Linked DNA regions of Notamacropus eugenii. The protein of the gene in region 1 interacts with the protein of each later gene in a biochemical or structural test. Links are inferred from orthologs where the notes say so. Each region holds a gene or a part of one and is shown in the gene's direction. Other genes may lie near its edges.

What was found.
Region 2: of the proteins of CGAS (region 1) and RNF185, one has a biochemical effect on the other in vitro, tested with the Homo sapiens proteins (2 studies listed by BioGRID). The link is inferred for Notamacropus eugenii from reciprocal best matches to the Homo sapiens genes CGAS and RNF185.

Annotation. Positions count from the first base shown.
Region 1 is NC_092873.1:142,982,828-142,990,191, reverse strand, and holds the start of CGAS (cyclic GMP-AMP synthase), read left to right. Parts: upstream 1-4,284; 5' UTR 4,285-4,373; coding exon 4,374-5,399; intron 5,400-7,017; coding exon 7,018-7,237; intron 7,238-7,364. UniProt on the Homo sapiens protein: Nucleotidyltransferase that catalyzes the formation of cyclic GMP-AMP (2',3'-cGAMP) from ATP and GTP and plays a key role in innate immunity.
Region 2 is NC_092875.1:13,959,847-13,967,562, reverse strand, and holds the start of RNF185 (E3 ubiquitin-protein ligase RNF185), read left to right. Parts: upstream 1-4,617; 5' UTR 4,618-4,707; exon of another isoform or gene 4,708-4,762; intron 4,763-7,716. UniProt on the Homo sapiens protein: E3 ubiquitin-protein ligase that regulates selective mitochondrial autophagy by mediating 'Lys-63'-linked polyubiquitination of BNIP1.

The DNA of each region.
Region 1 (7,364 bases):
AGAGGAAAATTGGAAAGAAAAATGAGAGTGATGCAAGAAAAGCATGAAAAGATTGTGGTCACTCACAGACCAGAGCACAGGCCTGCTAAAGGAACCCCCTGAAAATGCTGAAGAAAATAACACCTTTAAAATTAAACTAACCCAAATGACAGAAGAGGTCCAAAGAGCTAATAAGGAGAAGAAAGCAGAAAGGGCCAAATGGAAAAAGAGGTCCAAAGGCTCACTGAAGAAAATAATTCCTTAAAAATTAGAATGGAGCAAATGGAAGCTAATGACTTTATGAGAAATCAAGAAATTATAAAACAAAGCCAAAAGAATGAAAAAATAGAAGACTGTGAAATATCTCATTGTAAAAACAAGTGACCTGGAAAATGGATCCAGGAGAGATAATTTAAAAATTATTGGATTACCTGAAAGCCATGATCAAAAAAAAGAGCCTAAATGTCATCTTTCAAGAAATTATCAAGGAAAACTTCCCTGATATTCTAGAACCAGAGGATAAAATAGAAATGAAAAGAATCCACCAATTACCTCCTGAAAGAGATCCCCAAAGGAAAACTCCTAGGAATATTGTAGCCAAATGTCAGAGTTCCCAGGTCAAGGAAAAAATATTACAAGCAGCCAGAAAGAAACAATTCAAGTATTGTGGAAACACAATCAAGATAACACAATATTTAGCAGTTTCTACACTAAGGGATCAAAGCGCTTGGAATATGATATTCTAGAGGTCAAATGAGATAGGGTTAAAACCAAGAATCACTCAGCAAAAGTAAGTATAATGCTTCAGGGGAAAAAAATGAAACTTCAGTGAAATAGAGGACATCCAAGCATTCTTGTTGAAAAGACCAGAGCTGAATAGAAAATTTGACTTTCAAATACAAGAATCAAGAGAAGCATGAAAAGGTAAACGGAAAAGAGAAATCATAAGGGACTTACTTACTACTTAACCTGCACACCCCTCCAAGAGTCTCTCCCTTATCCTCTCCCTTACCTTATCTCCTTGCCCTGTTATTTCTTTTTGAATTTAGGAGATTTTATACCCATATATATGTATATTTTTATATACATATATATATGTTGTTCCCTCTTTAACTCATTTCTGAGGAGTAATTCCTCATGAGAGTAATCCAGCACTACCTACCCTCCCCGCTACTAGCTTCTTCTGTATCAGTTTTTCCTTTTATGCCTCATTGGTATGAGATAATTACTCCTTTTTATCTCTCCCTACAATTTTTTCTAGAACCATGCCATCATACACAGCTTAGCTCAAGCCTTTCTTTCAAACTGCCCAAAAAATAATGATAGTCATAAAAGTACTGATAATATTTTCACATATTAGAAGTAAACAATTTGATCTAATTGAGCCCTTTATAATTGGTTTTTGACGTTTACCTTATATTTCTCCAGGGTGTTATATGCTGAATTTTCCTTTAAGTTTTGCTATTATTTGTCACAAATACCTGGATGTCTTTCAGTTCATTAAATGTCCATTCTTTTTCATTCAGAATTATTCTTAACTTTGCTGGGTAAGTTACCCTTGGTCACAACTCCAGCTCTTTTGTTCTATGAAATATAGTATTCCAAGACCTTCACAGTCCTTCATAATAGTAGCTGCTGGTTCTTACATAATCCCTACTGTAGTTCCATGATGTTGAAATTTTTTTTCTTGTTGCTTCCAATATTTTTTCCTTAACCTGAGAGCTTTGAAATTTGGCTATGATATTCCTGTAAGTTTTTCTTCTAGAACCTCTTTCAGGTGGTTATCGGTGATTTTTTTATTTCTACTTTGCCTTCTTCTTCTAGAATGTCAGGGCAATTTTCCTTGATAATTTCTTACAATATTGTATCAAGATTATTTTTTTATTAATTAATTTTATTTATTTACAGTGTTCTACAATAACTACCATATAACTTAGGCTATTATTTTCCCCTACCTCCCTCTTACTTCCCCCCTCCCTCCCTGAGACAGCATACAATTTTGTATAGGTTCTACACATACATTCCTATTAAATACATTTTCACTATAGTCATGCTGTGTTGAAGAATTAAAATGATTGGGAGAAATCATCTAACAAACCAAAACACAATACACACATACACACACACACACACACACACACACACACACACACACACACACACACAAATGATCTGATCTGCTCCAATCTGCAATCCATAGTTCTTTCTCTGGATGTGGAAGGCATTTTGCCTTAGAAGACCATTGGGAATTTTTTTTTTTAAGTCCTTGCATTGCAATGAAGTTCCAAATCTACCAGAAAAAACTCTCACACACTGTGGTCATTGCTGTGCACAAAGTTCTCCTGGTTCTGCTCCTTTCACTCAGCATCAGATCATATAAGTCTTTGCAGGCCTCTCTGAAGTTTTCCTGTTCATCATTTCTTATAGCACAATAGTATTCTATTATATTCATACACAATAATTTATTCATCCATTCCCCAATTGATGGGCATCCTCTTGATTTCCAGTTTTTGGCCACCACAAAGAGTGCTGTTATAAATATTTTTGTACATGTGGGACCCTTTCCCATTTTTATGATCTTTTTGGGGATACAGTCCTAGAAGTGCTATTGCTAGGTCAAAGGGTATGCATATTTTTGTAGCCCTTTGGGCATAGTTCCAAATTGCTCTTCAGAATGGTTGGATCAATTCACAGCTCCACCAGCAGCATATTAGTGTTCCAACTCTCCCACATCCTCTCCAACATTTATCATCTTCCTGTTCTGTCATGTTTGCCAATCTGATAGATGTGATGAAGATTCTTTTTTATCATAATTTTCAGGTAGTTGAACTATTCTTATATTATTTCTCTAAACCTGTTCTCCAGATTGGTTTTTTTGATGAGATGTTTCACATTCTCTTCTATTTTTTCATTCTTTTGATTTTGTTTAATTATTTCTTGGTGTCTTTGAAAGTCGTTAGCTTCCCTTTGCTCAATTCTAGTTTTCAAGGAATTATTTTCTTCTTTCAGTTTTTAATTCTTTATTTTAAGTTGGTTGATCTTATTTTTTCCTAATTTTTTCTCAATCTCTATTATTAGATTATTAAAATCTTTTTAAAGTTCTTCCAAGAACTCTTTTTTGCTTGGAACCATTTGACATTTCTCGTTGAAAAAGGAGTGACTTTTTTTTTTAGCTCCTTTATCTTCCTCTGAGTATGAACTCAGATCTTCTCTGTCCTTATAGGAGCTACTTATGGTTGTGATGAAATCCTAGCCACTGTCCCTAGCTAGCCATTGCCCCCAGACCCAATATCCTAGCTTCCTCATGAGCACATCTGTCTAGTGAGGCATATGAAGAAGTTGAGATATTGGATGTGGGGGCCAGTGGCTAGGATTCCATCAGTTGGATTTTCTCCTTTGCTTACTCATTTTTCTTTTTTTGTTTTCTTTTGCTTTTAGCAGCTATTAGTGTAATCAAGTTCTAGTCCCCAGATATGGGGAATGCCTCTGCGAACCTCCTGCTTCCCTCCTGGCAGTAATGCAAGTCTCCCTTGGAGAAAGGTGGGGGGAGAAGAGGCTAGAGATGTCTATTTTGCCTCCCTTAGAGCCACACATAAGGGCAGCCCTTGCTACAGGTGGACCTCTCTAATGTGAGGGAGGTTCTTCTTTACATTATAAAGGATGAGATGAGAAGACCATATCTTAGATCTTTTACAGAGGTGGAGGTGGGGTGAAGGATGTGTGGAACATTGCATATAACCTCAATTTTTTTCAGTGTATTGATCAGTGTTGACGATTTTTTCTTTTAAAATCTCTTATAAGGGATAACTTTCTGGGAAGGGTAAGAGGGAAGGGTATGGGGGAAATCTAGGAGATGTAAAAACAAAAAGATAACAATAAAATGTATTTTTAAAAAAAGTTATGCACTATAATCAAGATTAGACTTGGAAAAATGAATTCTCCTTCAAAGGTATGCTTAATTATACATGGTGATAAAAGTGCGATTCAGTGATGAAGAATGAAAGGAAGATTTTAATTTTGCCAATCTAAAGCCAAATTGTACAAAGCAAGTGGCTGCTGCACAAGGACAAAACGCTTAAAAGTTTTTGGGTTTTTTGAGCTGTAAAAAGTTATAAAGTTATACTTATTGTATAAGTCAATATATTAAACTATTTTCCCCCTTCCCAGTTAATTGCTAGGACAGCCGGGGATTTCCAGTTAGTCTACATTCTTGTCCTTCAGACTTCCCGCCGGTTTGATAAGTTTCATTTCCTTAGAATCCCCTCCACCACTCCCGCCTTTTCTCTAGTCAGTCCAATCCCCACTCTCCCCACCCTCACTCCTGTCTCTTCCTGGAAAGCCTTTTTCTACGAGATACCAAGGCGAGAGATCCAGAAGAGCTTGGGTGGTCCGGGATGGAGGGGACAGTGACAAGGGCTCCGGCAGCCCGGCGCAAGAGTTCAACCCGAGGTTCCCGCAAGACGCAGGCAGCACGAACCCGGGCTCCCAGCCTCTCCTCTCAGGCTGCCCCCGACGTGACGGACGCCGCCCCAGGGAAGGGTTCCTACTCCAGTGGGTCGGAATCTCTGCCAGAGAAGCAACTCCCTGTCCTCAGGGCCAACCAACCCTCTGTTCTCCCGGAGAAGGAACCCCCTGTCCTCAGGGCCAAGCAACCCCCTGTTCTCCAGGAGAAGAAACCCCCTGTCCTCCAGGAGAAGAAACCCCCTGTCCTCAGGGCCAAGCAACCCCCTGTTCTCCAGGAGAAGAAACCCCCTGTCCTCCAGGAGAAGAAACCCCCTGTCCTCAGGGCCAAACAACCCCCTGTTCTCCCGGAGAAGGAACCCCCTGTCCTCAGGGCCAAGCAACCCCCTGTTCTCCCGGAGAAGGAACCCCCTGTCCTCAGGGCCAAGCAACCCCCTGTTCTCCAGGAGAAGAAACCCCCTGTCTTCCAAGAGAAGCAACCCCCTGTCCTCCAGGAGAAGAAACCCCCTGTCCTCAGGGCCAAACAACCCCCTGTTCTCCCGGAGAAGGAACCCTCTGTCCTCCAGGAGAAGCTGCCTACCAGGGTCCCGGGGTCTCAGGCCACTAAGAAGGGGCTTCCCCACCCAAGGGACGTACATACCCTACAGGAAGGGAGACCGGTCCTCAAGAAGAATCCCGGGCCTGGAGTTCTGACGCCCCTGTCCAACGAGCCGGGAATCTTGCCCAAGGGAATGAAGGATCCTGAGGATCGGAAGAAGGGGGTCCCCCGGCAGAACTCCGTTGGCCGGAGGTTACAGCAGGTAGTGGAGAAACTGAAGCTGCGGCGTCAGGAGACATCCCAGGCCTGCGTGTTGGTGAACCAGGTCGTCGACCACCTGCAGCGGCGGCTGCCCCTCTGGGACCCGGCTTTCAGGGGCATTGAGAGGCTGGGCACCGGCAGCTACTACGAGCAGGTGAAGGTGAGTTGACTAAGGGTTTGCTCACTCCTACCTCTCCTTCGAGAATGGTAGTAGCTAGCTTCCTTATAGATCTTCAATGTTTGCAAAATGCTTTGCTTTCCGTTATCATTACTTCCGACTCTGCAGGCGCCTTGTCACCAAAACCACGATAACTCTGCGCCGTAGCTGCTCGTTTTTCTACAGGGGATCCAAGAAAGAAAGCTGGATCTGGGAATGGGAAGTTGTTCACGCCTGCTACTTAATTACCTATTGAGCAAGTCGTTTAACTTCGGTGAGCCTAGGTTTTCGCAGATGGGAAATGGTGTGTGATCTGTCTGGTTCGCTGTCCATCAGTGTGGGCTGCTGCCTCACACCGGGAGTCTCAGAAGGTGGGGATTATTTGCTAGTTTCTATTGCCAAACTTCCAAACGTTCCTGTTGTTTCTTGTGCTTCAGGTCTGTAACCGATCATGTTGCCCTTAATCCCATGATTTCACCTGCCCTGTGCTGTTCTTTGTTCTGGACTCCCCAAAACCGATAGAAAAGGAACTGTCCATTTGCTGGGGCTGGGGGGTCTTTGGCATTAATGGAGGCAAGCCCCTGACCCACTTACTATATGCTAATAAATGTTATCTTGTTCGGAGATCTTCCTCAATTTAATCTTTTATTAAAATTCAGTTGTAACATGTCCATTTTAGAGGCCTGGGGACACTGAAAGGTTAAGGTGCTTTTCTCTCAGTCACACTGGTAGTGAACCTCAGGGCAGGATTTAACACCAAGTTCTCTCCTAACTCCTGTTTTCTCCCTATATCAGAGGTTAGACCAAAATGAATCCTGAACTCACTTCCTACCCTAAACCTTATGATCTTCAGCTTTGTGAAGGGGAGGGAAAGGAAGAGGGTGGCACTTATTTCTCCTAGTCAATGATATTTTTGTTGCCAACCTACTGGGATGTAGAGTTCCCATGACCCATGTTTAGATATGGAGGATTTACTCACAAAAGAATGATGTGTTTGTCCTTTGTTGCCGAAGAAGACCATGCCATCAGAGAAATAATGACATGACTTACACTTGACTTTGTTTTGAGTGAGGGAAGGCTGTGCAGGTCACCAGCCTCACTTCTCCAGAGCCATCTGAATTCAGTGACCAGATATTCATCAGGATGATTGGAGATGACCCAGGATGAGGCAGTTGGGGTTAAGTGACTTGCCCAAGGTCACACAGCTAGTGAGTGTCAAGTGTCTGAGGTGAGATTTGAACTCAGGTCCTCCTGACTCCTGCTCTATCCACTGCACCACCTAGCTGCTCCTTGGGTCACTAGTATTATTTTTACAAATGAAGAACATGATTCCTTACTATAGTGAGGAGCAAAGAAAGAATAAACAAAGATTTATTCAGGGTTCTAGCCCATTTGATGAGCTTAATATACTTCTTTTAAAAAAATTTTTGTGGAAAATTAAACCCAGGAAAACTGATGTGGGAACAAAATCTTGTATGATAAAATTTTAATTTTAGAAATTTTGCAAATTGAATTAATAAATGAAAATTCTCAGGAAAATTCAATTTTTGACAAATCAGCAAAACATTAAAAAATACATCATACATGTCAGTGTAATTTTTTTTTTTTTGCTGTTTCATAGATTTCTGCTCCAAATGAATTTGATATCATGCTTAAACTGGAAGTTTCCAGAATTGAACTAGAAGAATATGATGACAGTGGTGCCTTTTACTTTGTGAAGTTTAAAAGAAATCCAGCAGGAAATCCTCTGATCAGTTTTTTAGATAATGGAATATTATCAGCTTCTAAGCTGCTATCTCAATTTAGGAAAATCATTAAGGCAGAAGTAAACCATATTAAAGGTAAGAAGTTAGTATTCTCTATTCTTAAAGATCTGTTTGTACAGATTATATTTTCTCTTTGTCTTTTATGATAATAGAATTACACAACACATAACATTTAAATATTAGCCCATCTTCACAGCTACGA
Region 2 (7,716 bases), on another chromosome or scaffold:
GAGGCTGAAGGAGCAGAGGGTACTTCCAATACGTGAAGTCCAGGAGTGGAGTGAGCTTGTGGGATGAAGAAGTTTCTGCGGCATGGTAGAGAGTCCTGTGGAGAGTCTGGAGTATAACTTGGAGTGAAGTCCCTCTGGAAGATCCTGCTGCTGCTATGGCCTGCCTCCTCCCATTGATGAATTCTTCCCAGACCCTCCATTTCAAGGAAGTGCCCAGGCCAGCTGTGTTGGCTGCCTCACTCCTGGCCCTCTGGACTTGGACGCCATCTATTCCACCCTCATCTTTGGCTCCCTTCAGTTTGTTGTCTTCTCTCAAAACCAGAATGTAAGCTATGTGAAGTCAGGGAATACAGTTACCCCTTTCACTAGCACAGTGCTAGGGATCTGGAAAAGCAACATAAAATTCTGTGGCCCTCCTTTCATGCCAGAGAAGAAGTCTAAATTATTAAGGTATTAAAAGATAAAATATGTTGCCATTATATAATACTATACATATATTTTATTATTTCTGAGTTTCTAAACCTTTTCTGTCATCTGCTGCTTCCACAAAACTCCCCCCAAATTCCCATTTAATTTCTTATGCCAACCTGCAATATACTGAAATTGTGATGGGGAAAGGATAACTGTACCTCCCTTTCTTCTTGTATTTTTATTTCCAGTACTTAGCACAGTACCTGGCACATGGTAATTGCTTAATAAATGGTTGATGTTACCTTTCTAAAGTTTCTATTTCAATTCCCTCAGTGTTGCTCTTCATCAGAAATACCTGAGCATTCTCTATTCTAAAGGTGTCCAATTTGTGGCCAGTGAGCCCACAAAACTCCTGAATGACGCTGAACTGGGTTGTATTTTACTGGAAAATGTTTAACAAAATAAATAAAAACGCAATGTGGATAATGTTAATTTGTGTGACTTGGTAGGGATTGATTGGTTCCTTTCTATTTGAGCTGTTCATCACGTTTCTATTCCGTGAAAGGTCTGCTTTTCTTTCCCTGTAGTTTTTTATGCTCAGATTTGCAGGGCAAGTTATTCTCAGTTCTAAGATGCTTCTTCTGCCTTTTGGAATATTGAATTACATGATCGCTGTTCATTTTTAGTAGAAGCTGCCAGGTCTTGTATGATCCTGACTCATTCCCCAAACTTCTTCCTGGAGGCTTGTAGCAATTTTTCTTTGACATGGGGGCTCTAGGTATTGACTGGGACATTTCTGGGATTCTTCCCTTTTGGGTTCCTTTCAGGAATTAAACAGTGGATTCTTTGTATCTTTACTGACTTTGTTTTCTGGTTCTAACACGTTAGAAGTTTTCTTTTATGGTTTTTTAAAATATAATGTCCAGCACTTAATTTTTTTAAATAATGGTTTTTACATAAGACAATGCCTGACATTATCTCCCTTGACCTTTTCCAGGTCAGTTTTTTTAAAAAATCAGATATCTTATATTTTCTCTTTTTCAATCTCAATTTTTTCCCTACTATTTCTTGCTGTCTCATAAAATCCTTGCTTTGTTGGTCTATTCTCTAGTTTTCAGGGCACCCATTTCTTGAATAAGGTTTATCACTTTCCCTTCCAAGCTACTTCAATCAATAAACATTTATTAAGTACCTACTATGTGCCAGGCACAGTGCTAAGCACTGAAGATGCAAAAAGAGACAAAAGACAGTCCCTGCCCTCAAGGAATTTACAATCTAAAGGGGGAGACGACGTGCAAACAAATCTACACCAAGCAAACTATATACAGGATGAATAGGAAATAATTAACAAAGGGAAGACACTAGACTGAAGAGACGTTGGGGAAGGCTTCCTGTGGAAGACAGGCTTTTGGTAGAGGCTTAAAGGAAACCAGGGAAATCAGTGAATAACGATGAGGAGGAAGAACATTCCAGGTATGAATGACAGTCAGAGAAAATGCACAGAGCTAAGAAATGGAACCAAGGCCACTGTCCTGTCCAGGATGAAGGTATAAGACTGGAAAGGTAGGAGGAAACCAGGTTACAAAGGGCTTTGAATGTCAAACAGCATTTGGTCTTTGTTGCTGAAGGCAACAGGGAGCCCCAGGAACTTGAGTTCTAGGAGAGCAACGTGATCAGACGTAGGTTTTAGGAAAATCACTTTAGCTGATGGAGGGTGGATTGGAGTAGGGAGAGACTGGAGACAGACAGACTTCCCAGCAGCTACTGCAATAATCCACCAGAGTGGGGGCAGTGTCAGAGGGGAGAAGGGTGAGTATTATGCAGGGGTGAGACATACAAGGAATACTGCACAGGTAAAATCCACAGGCCTTGGCACCATATTGGATGTGGGGGGAGAGGGCATGAGGAGTCCAGGATGACCCCTAGATTGTGACCTTGGGGGACTGGGAAGAGAGTGGTATCCTCAACAGTAATAGGGAAGGTGGGATCTTTCCTCTAGATTACAGCTTTTATTTCACTTTCAAATCTCATTTCATTTCTTGTAAGTATTCATAGAGACCTTGTGGAATATGCATCTTTCCTCTGAGTCTGTTGGCAGTCATTATAGAATTAGGTTGGCAAATGCACTCATCTTTTTAGCTTCAATTCCTGAATTGGGGCTGTATGCCCCAGCAGCACTGGCCCAGAGGAAGCAAGGGGGATACCACAGCGGACAGAGCGTTGGTCTGGAGTCAAATCCAGCCCCAGACACTTACTAGCTGTGGGACCCCGCACAAGTCATTTAGCCTAAAGTTTACTTTAGATTCCTTAACTGTAAAATGAGGGTAACTGTAACATGTATCACCCAAGGGCTGCAAAGATTAAATGAGGTCATTGTTGCAAAAGGCTGAGAACAGTGCCTGGCACGCAGCAGGTGCCTCATAAAGGCTTGTTCCCACCTTTCTCACCATCCCTTGTACAAAACACTGCCAGCTCCATGCTTTCACTGGCTTTGTAACAGCAAGGACCCCGGCACCCACAGGAGGGCCTGCTCTACAGGTTCTCAGATCTGCTATTCTGAAAAGAGGAGTCAGCAATCTACTTTAATCAGGCACATGTATCATTCACTTAGTTCAGACGAAAGAGTCAGCCCCCTGAACTTCAGAGAAACCAAGACCAACAGACAGAGCTTCCAACTGTCTGACCGTGAGCACTAAATCACCAACATCTGGGCTTTCCAAGGGGAGGGGCTCCTCAGCAGCTGCCCAGAGTCTCACCTAGCACACCAACCTTCTCCCAAACGCTAAGCCTCACCTCAGAGCCCAGGGCAGGACCCTCAACAGAGATTAACAAAAGGGACTGAGGCCTATTAATGGGAGGGGGAGATCTTTAACTCTTCCCCCCACTCACCATTAACCTTAAATTACCGTTACAGTCTGTGGCTTCCTGTAAGACTCAGCTCCTGGAGGCTTTCCTGGGACCCCATCCACTGAATGCGCCTTCACTCTGACTGCCTCCCAGTGATACCATGTGGAGCTCACAAGTATAAAGCTGTTTTCTTGGGGTCTCCTGCATTAGAACGTGCGCTCCCTGGGGGCCGAAGCCGTGGTGCTGCCTTTCTGCATCGCTCATACCCAGCACCAGTCGAATCCACCTGCCATGCCTTTCTGGGTAGGGCAGTTGTTCTCAGGCTGGGGTCAAAGGCTCTTCTGCTGGCCTCTGCCTCCTCCCCCCAGACTCAGCTGACAGCTCCACAAGAGAGATGAAGGATCCCTAGGGCAAGGCCTCAGCCTTGCCTGGACATGGCACTGCCTTCCAGAGAGCTGCTCTCACCTTCAGCTTGTGCCCTCCCTTAGGTCATCTTCCTCAAAGCCACAACAATAATCTTCCTAAGACGTGTCTGACCACGTCACCCCCTTGTTCAGAAGCCTCTGAGAGTTCACTACTGCCTCTAAAATCACAGGCAAACTCCTCAAACTGTTATCTGAAGTCTTCCTGAATCTAACTTTCACCTACCTCTTCAACCTTGGTTCTCAGGCACCCCCCCAGCCCAGCCCCCCCCTGGTCTGAGGCCCCTCCAGTCCTGACCCGCCCTGGTCTGAGGCCCCCCCCCAGCCCAGCCCCGCCCTGGTCTGAGGCCCCCCCCCAGCCCAGCCCCCCCCTGGTCTGAGGCCCCCCCCAGCCCAGCCCCGCCCTGGTCTGAGGCCCCCCCCCTGGTCTGAGGCCCCTCCAATCCTGACCCACCCTGGTCTGAGGCCCCTCCCGGCCCTGACCCCCCCGGTCTGAGGCCCCTCCAGTCCTGACCCCCCCTGGTCTGTGGCCCCTCCCGGCCCTGACCCCCCCCCCGTTCTCAGGCCCCTCCCGGCCCTGATCCCCCTGGTCTGAGGCCCCTCCCGGTCCTGACACCCCCTGGTCTGAGGCCCCTCCCGGCCCTGACCCCCCTGGTCTGAGGCCCCTCCAGTCCTGACCCACCCTGGTCTGAGGCCCCTCCGGTCCTGACACCCCCTGTTCTCAGGCCCCTCCGGTCCTGACCCCCCCTGGTCTGAGGCCCCTCCAGTCCTGACATTCAGGGCTTATCCTTCTTCCTTCCGCATCCCACGTGCCTCGCCCGCGGGCGGAACCTTGGTCGTCTGGTCGAAGGTGTCCCCGCCCACAGTGCCCGCCGTTCCCTTCCGGGTGCGGACCGGAAGTGCCTTCGCGTAGGCCCCATCCCCTGCGTCAGGTGACGGGATCCCGCGGAGGAGGCTCCGGAGCCGCCGCAGCCGGAGCCTGACTGACGTGACGGGCGGTGGACGGAGCGAGGGAGCGCGCGCTGAGGTACCTCGGCGGTCCGTGGCCCTCGGCGCTCCGGGGCCGCTTGCACTCCCTGAGGGTGCGGGCCTGCTTTTGGATTGGGGGACGGGGAGGGAGCGGGCTGGGACCTCCTCTCAGGGTCTGGTTGCGGCTGCGCAGGCGCCGTGGCAGGGAAGGGAAGGTGGGGGTCTGACTCTTCGGGACGTAACGCGCCTTCCACCTACTACTGGGCATGCGCCATAGGAGGTTGGGGGGGCCTCGTTCGTGAACTGTCTGGGTCCGTGACACGCCCCCCATAACTTTCCAGTGCGCAGGCGCGCTGAGAAGAGAGGCGTTGACTAGAATGGCTTAACCCGAAGCTGCGCATGCGCCATAGATCAGGGGCACTGGCTGCCGTGGTGACGACGTGCCTTCTTGTACACGTTTAACTCCGCTTGCGCATGCGCCCTAACAGAGTAAGCGCTGAGAACCTCGGTTCCGGAACTCTTTTGATTCTGCTTGCGCATGCGCTGTATGAAACTTGGCCCCTTCTGAACTTGTGGCCCTCATGCCACTGCGCAGTCGCAAGGACAAGACGCCCCCTCCCCTCCTTGGGCACTGTTTCCTGCTTCCCCGGTGATGCTCGATCCCCTCCCGCAGGGCTCTCTCCTGGCCTGGTAGCCCGTGGCCGCGTCGCTGACCTCCCTGGGGGGTCTGGCTCCTGCTGCGGTCAGTGCGGACGTGACGCAGAGCTCGGCCATCAGGAGCGGGGCACCTCGGCCCCGGTCTGCCAGATGGGCATGAAGTGTTCCCGCGAGCCGGCCCTCCGGGTGCCAGGCGCTGCAGGCTGGGCCGAGGGGCAGCGCCCGCCCCTGCCCGGGTTCTCTGAGACTTAGCGCTGTGCCAGGCTCTGGGGGTGCAGAGGGAGGGGCCCCACCCCCCAGCCCGGGAGTGGCACGGGCAAAGTTCTCCGGGATCTGTGGAGGAAGGGATTGTGGAAAGGAGGAGGCACGGTCCCAGGGTTGGGCCCCTTGGCAGCAGCTTCATAGGCAGGGGAGAGGGCAGGGGCATTCCAGGAGGTCCAGCTGGCACCCAGCATGAAGGAAGGGGAGGGAGGGCTGTCAGAGTGGGAAGGTCGGGCAGAGCGCTGTGGAAGGAGGCTCTTCAAAGCCTCCCGTGCTTTGTTCACTCTTGCTTCTCCCACACACCCATCCCTGGTGCCAGCTCCCCACTAGAGAAATCTGGATCCCACGCTGTCCCCCATGCAGTCTGCCCAGAACCGAGTCTGTCTGTCCCGCTGACCAGGACTCTTGAGCTTGCCCATTTCCGGGGAAGGCACCACCATGTTTCCAGTCTCCTCAGTCTCGTCCCTGGTTTGATTCCAGTTTGGCTCTGGTGCCTTTCCCAAACCGATGCCTGGCGCCTCTTGTTGGGGTGCCCTCCTGCCACCCCAAAGTACTTTGTGCTTACTTTTTTCTGTTTCTGTATCTGCCTACTTATCTTTGTACATGTTGTTATCTTTGATCAACCATATCCTGGGAGAGCAAGGACCGTTTTGTCGTTTGTCTCTATGTCCCCTTTAAATTGAATTGTTCCTAAAGGAAATTGAGGGCAGTGAAAGCTTTTGAGTAGAGGAGTGGTATGGTCACACCTGAGCAGTGGGAAGAGTCTTTGGGAGCTGTGTGAATGATGGGCCGGGGAGGAGAGGAAGGAGCCTGGGAGACTAGAGGATTGTCATTGTATAAGGCGCCCTGACGACTCCTTATTAAGCTCTTTTTTACATGGAAGGCACTATGCTAGGCATGCGAGGTGTAAAGATTTTTTAAATGGCAGCATTTTTTACCTTAAGGGTTCTCCTCAGGGGTAACAAGCACAGAAAATGAGAAATCCTAAGGAAAGGTGACAAGTTTGACCACTGAGATTTGGTGGGAAAAGACTCACCAAGTCGGTCCAGAAGGATGTGCCTTACTCAGAAGGAATAAGAGACAAATGAGGGAGTGGAATATCGTTGTGAATTAAGAATATATGCAAAGAAATCCGGAAGCCAGAGGTGGGCAAGCCTGGGGAGAGGAACAGAGAGAGAAACAGTCTTGAAGGATGAAACATGGAGAGAGGCCAAACAGAGCGGGCTCTTTAACAAACTACCGAGACACTGAACTTGGAAATAATAATGATAGCACTAACATTTCTGTCCCCCTCACTGTGTGCCGGGCACTTTACACATGATCTCAGTTTGATCCTCACAACCACCCTGGGAAAGAGGGGCTCTTACTCTCTCCATTTTACAGACTGAGGCAAACAGGGTTAAGGGACTTGTCTAGGATCACTCAGCTAGCTGTCTCTCTTCCCATTTTAGACCCTGAATAAGGGGCAGCTAGGTGGTGCAGTGGATAGAGCACCAGTGCAGGAGTCAGGAGGACCTGAGTTCAAATCTCACCTCAGACACTTGACACTCACTAGCTGTGTGACCCTGGGCAAGTCACTTAACCCCAACTGCCTCATCCTGGGTCATCTCCAGTCATCCTGATGAATATCTGGTCACTGGATTCAGATGGCTGTGGAGGAGAAGTGAGGCTGGTGACCTGCACAGCCCTCCCTCAATCAAAACAAAGTCAAATGCAAGTCATGTCATTATTTCTCTGATGGCATGGTCTTCTTCGGCAACAAAGGACAAACACACACACAGACCCTGAATATCACAGCCCTTAATGTGTTATGTGAGGAACAGATAACAAGCTAATGGTACTAGACAGGAGCTGCACCAGATAGGCACAGAGAATATCCATCCACACAGAGGCAACGTTTTTGTGGGCATTGAAGTATCTTTCTCAGCATATCTGAAAGTTGGGAAGGATACCAAATGCTTGGGGAAAAATTAGATAATATTACTACCCCAGGAAGAATAATTGAAAAGATTATCAATTACTGATCATATGCCTACTAGTCTACATCTACAGAAATCTTCCTAAGAATAATCTATATACAATCCATATTATATAATACATATTAAGAGCTTCAGTGATATAGCTGGGATGTAGAATCCATGATGTAGAA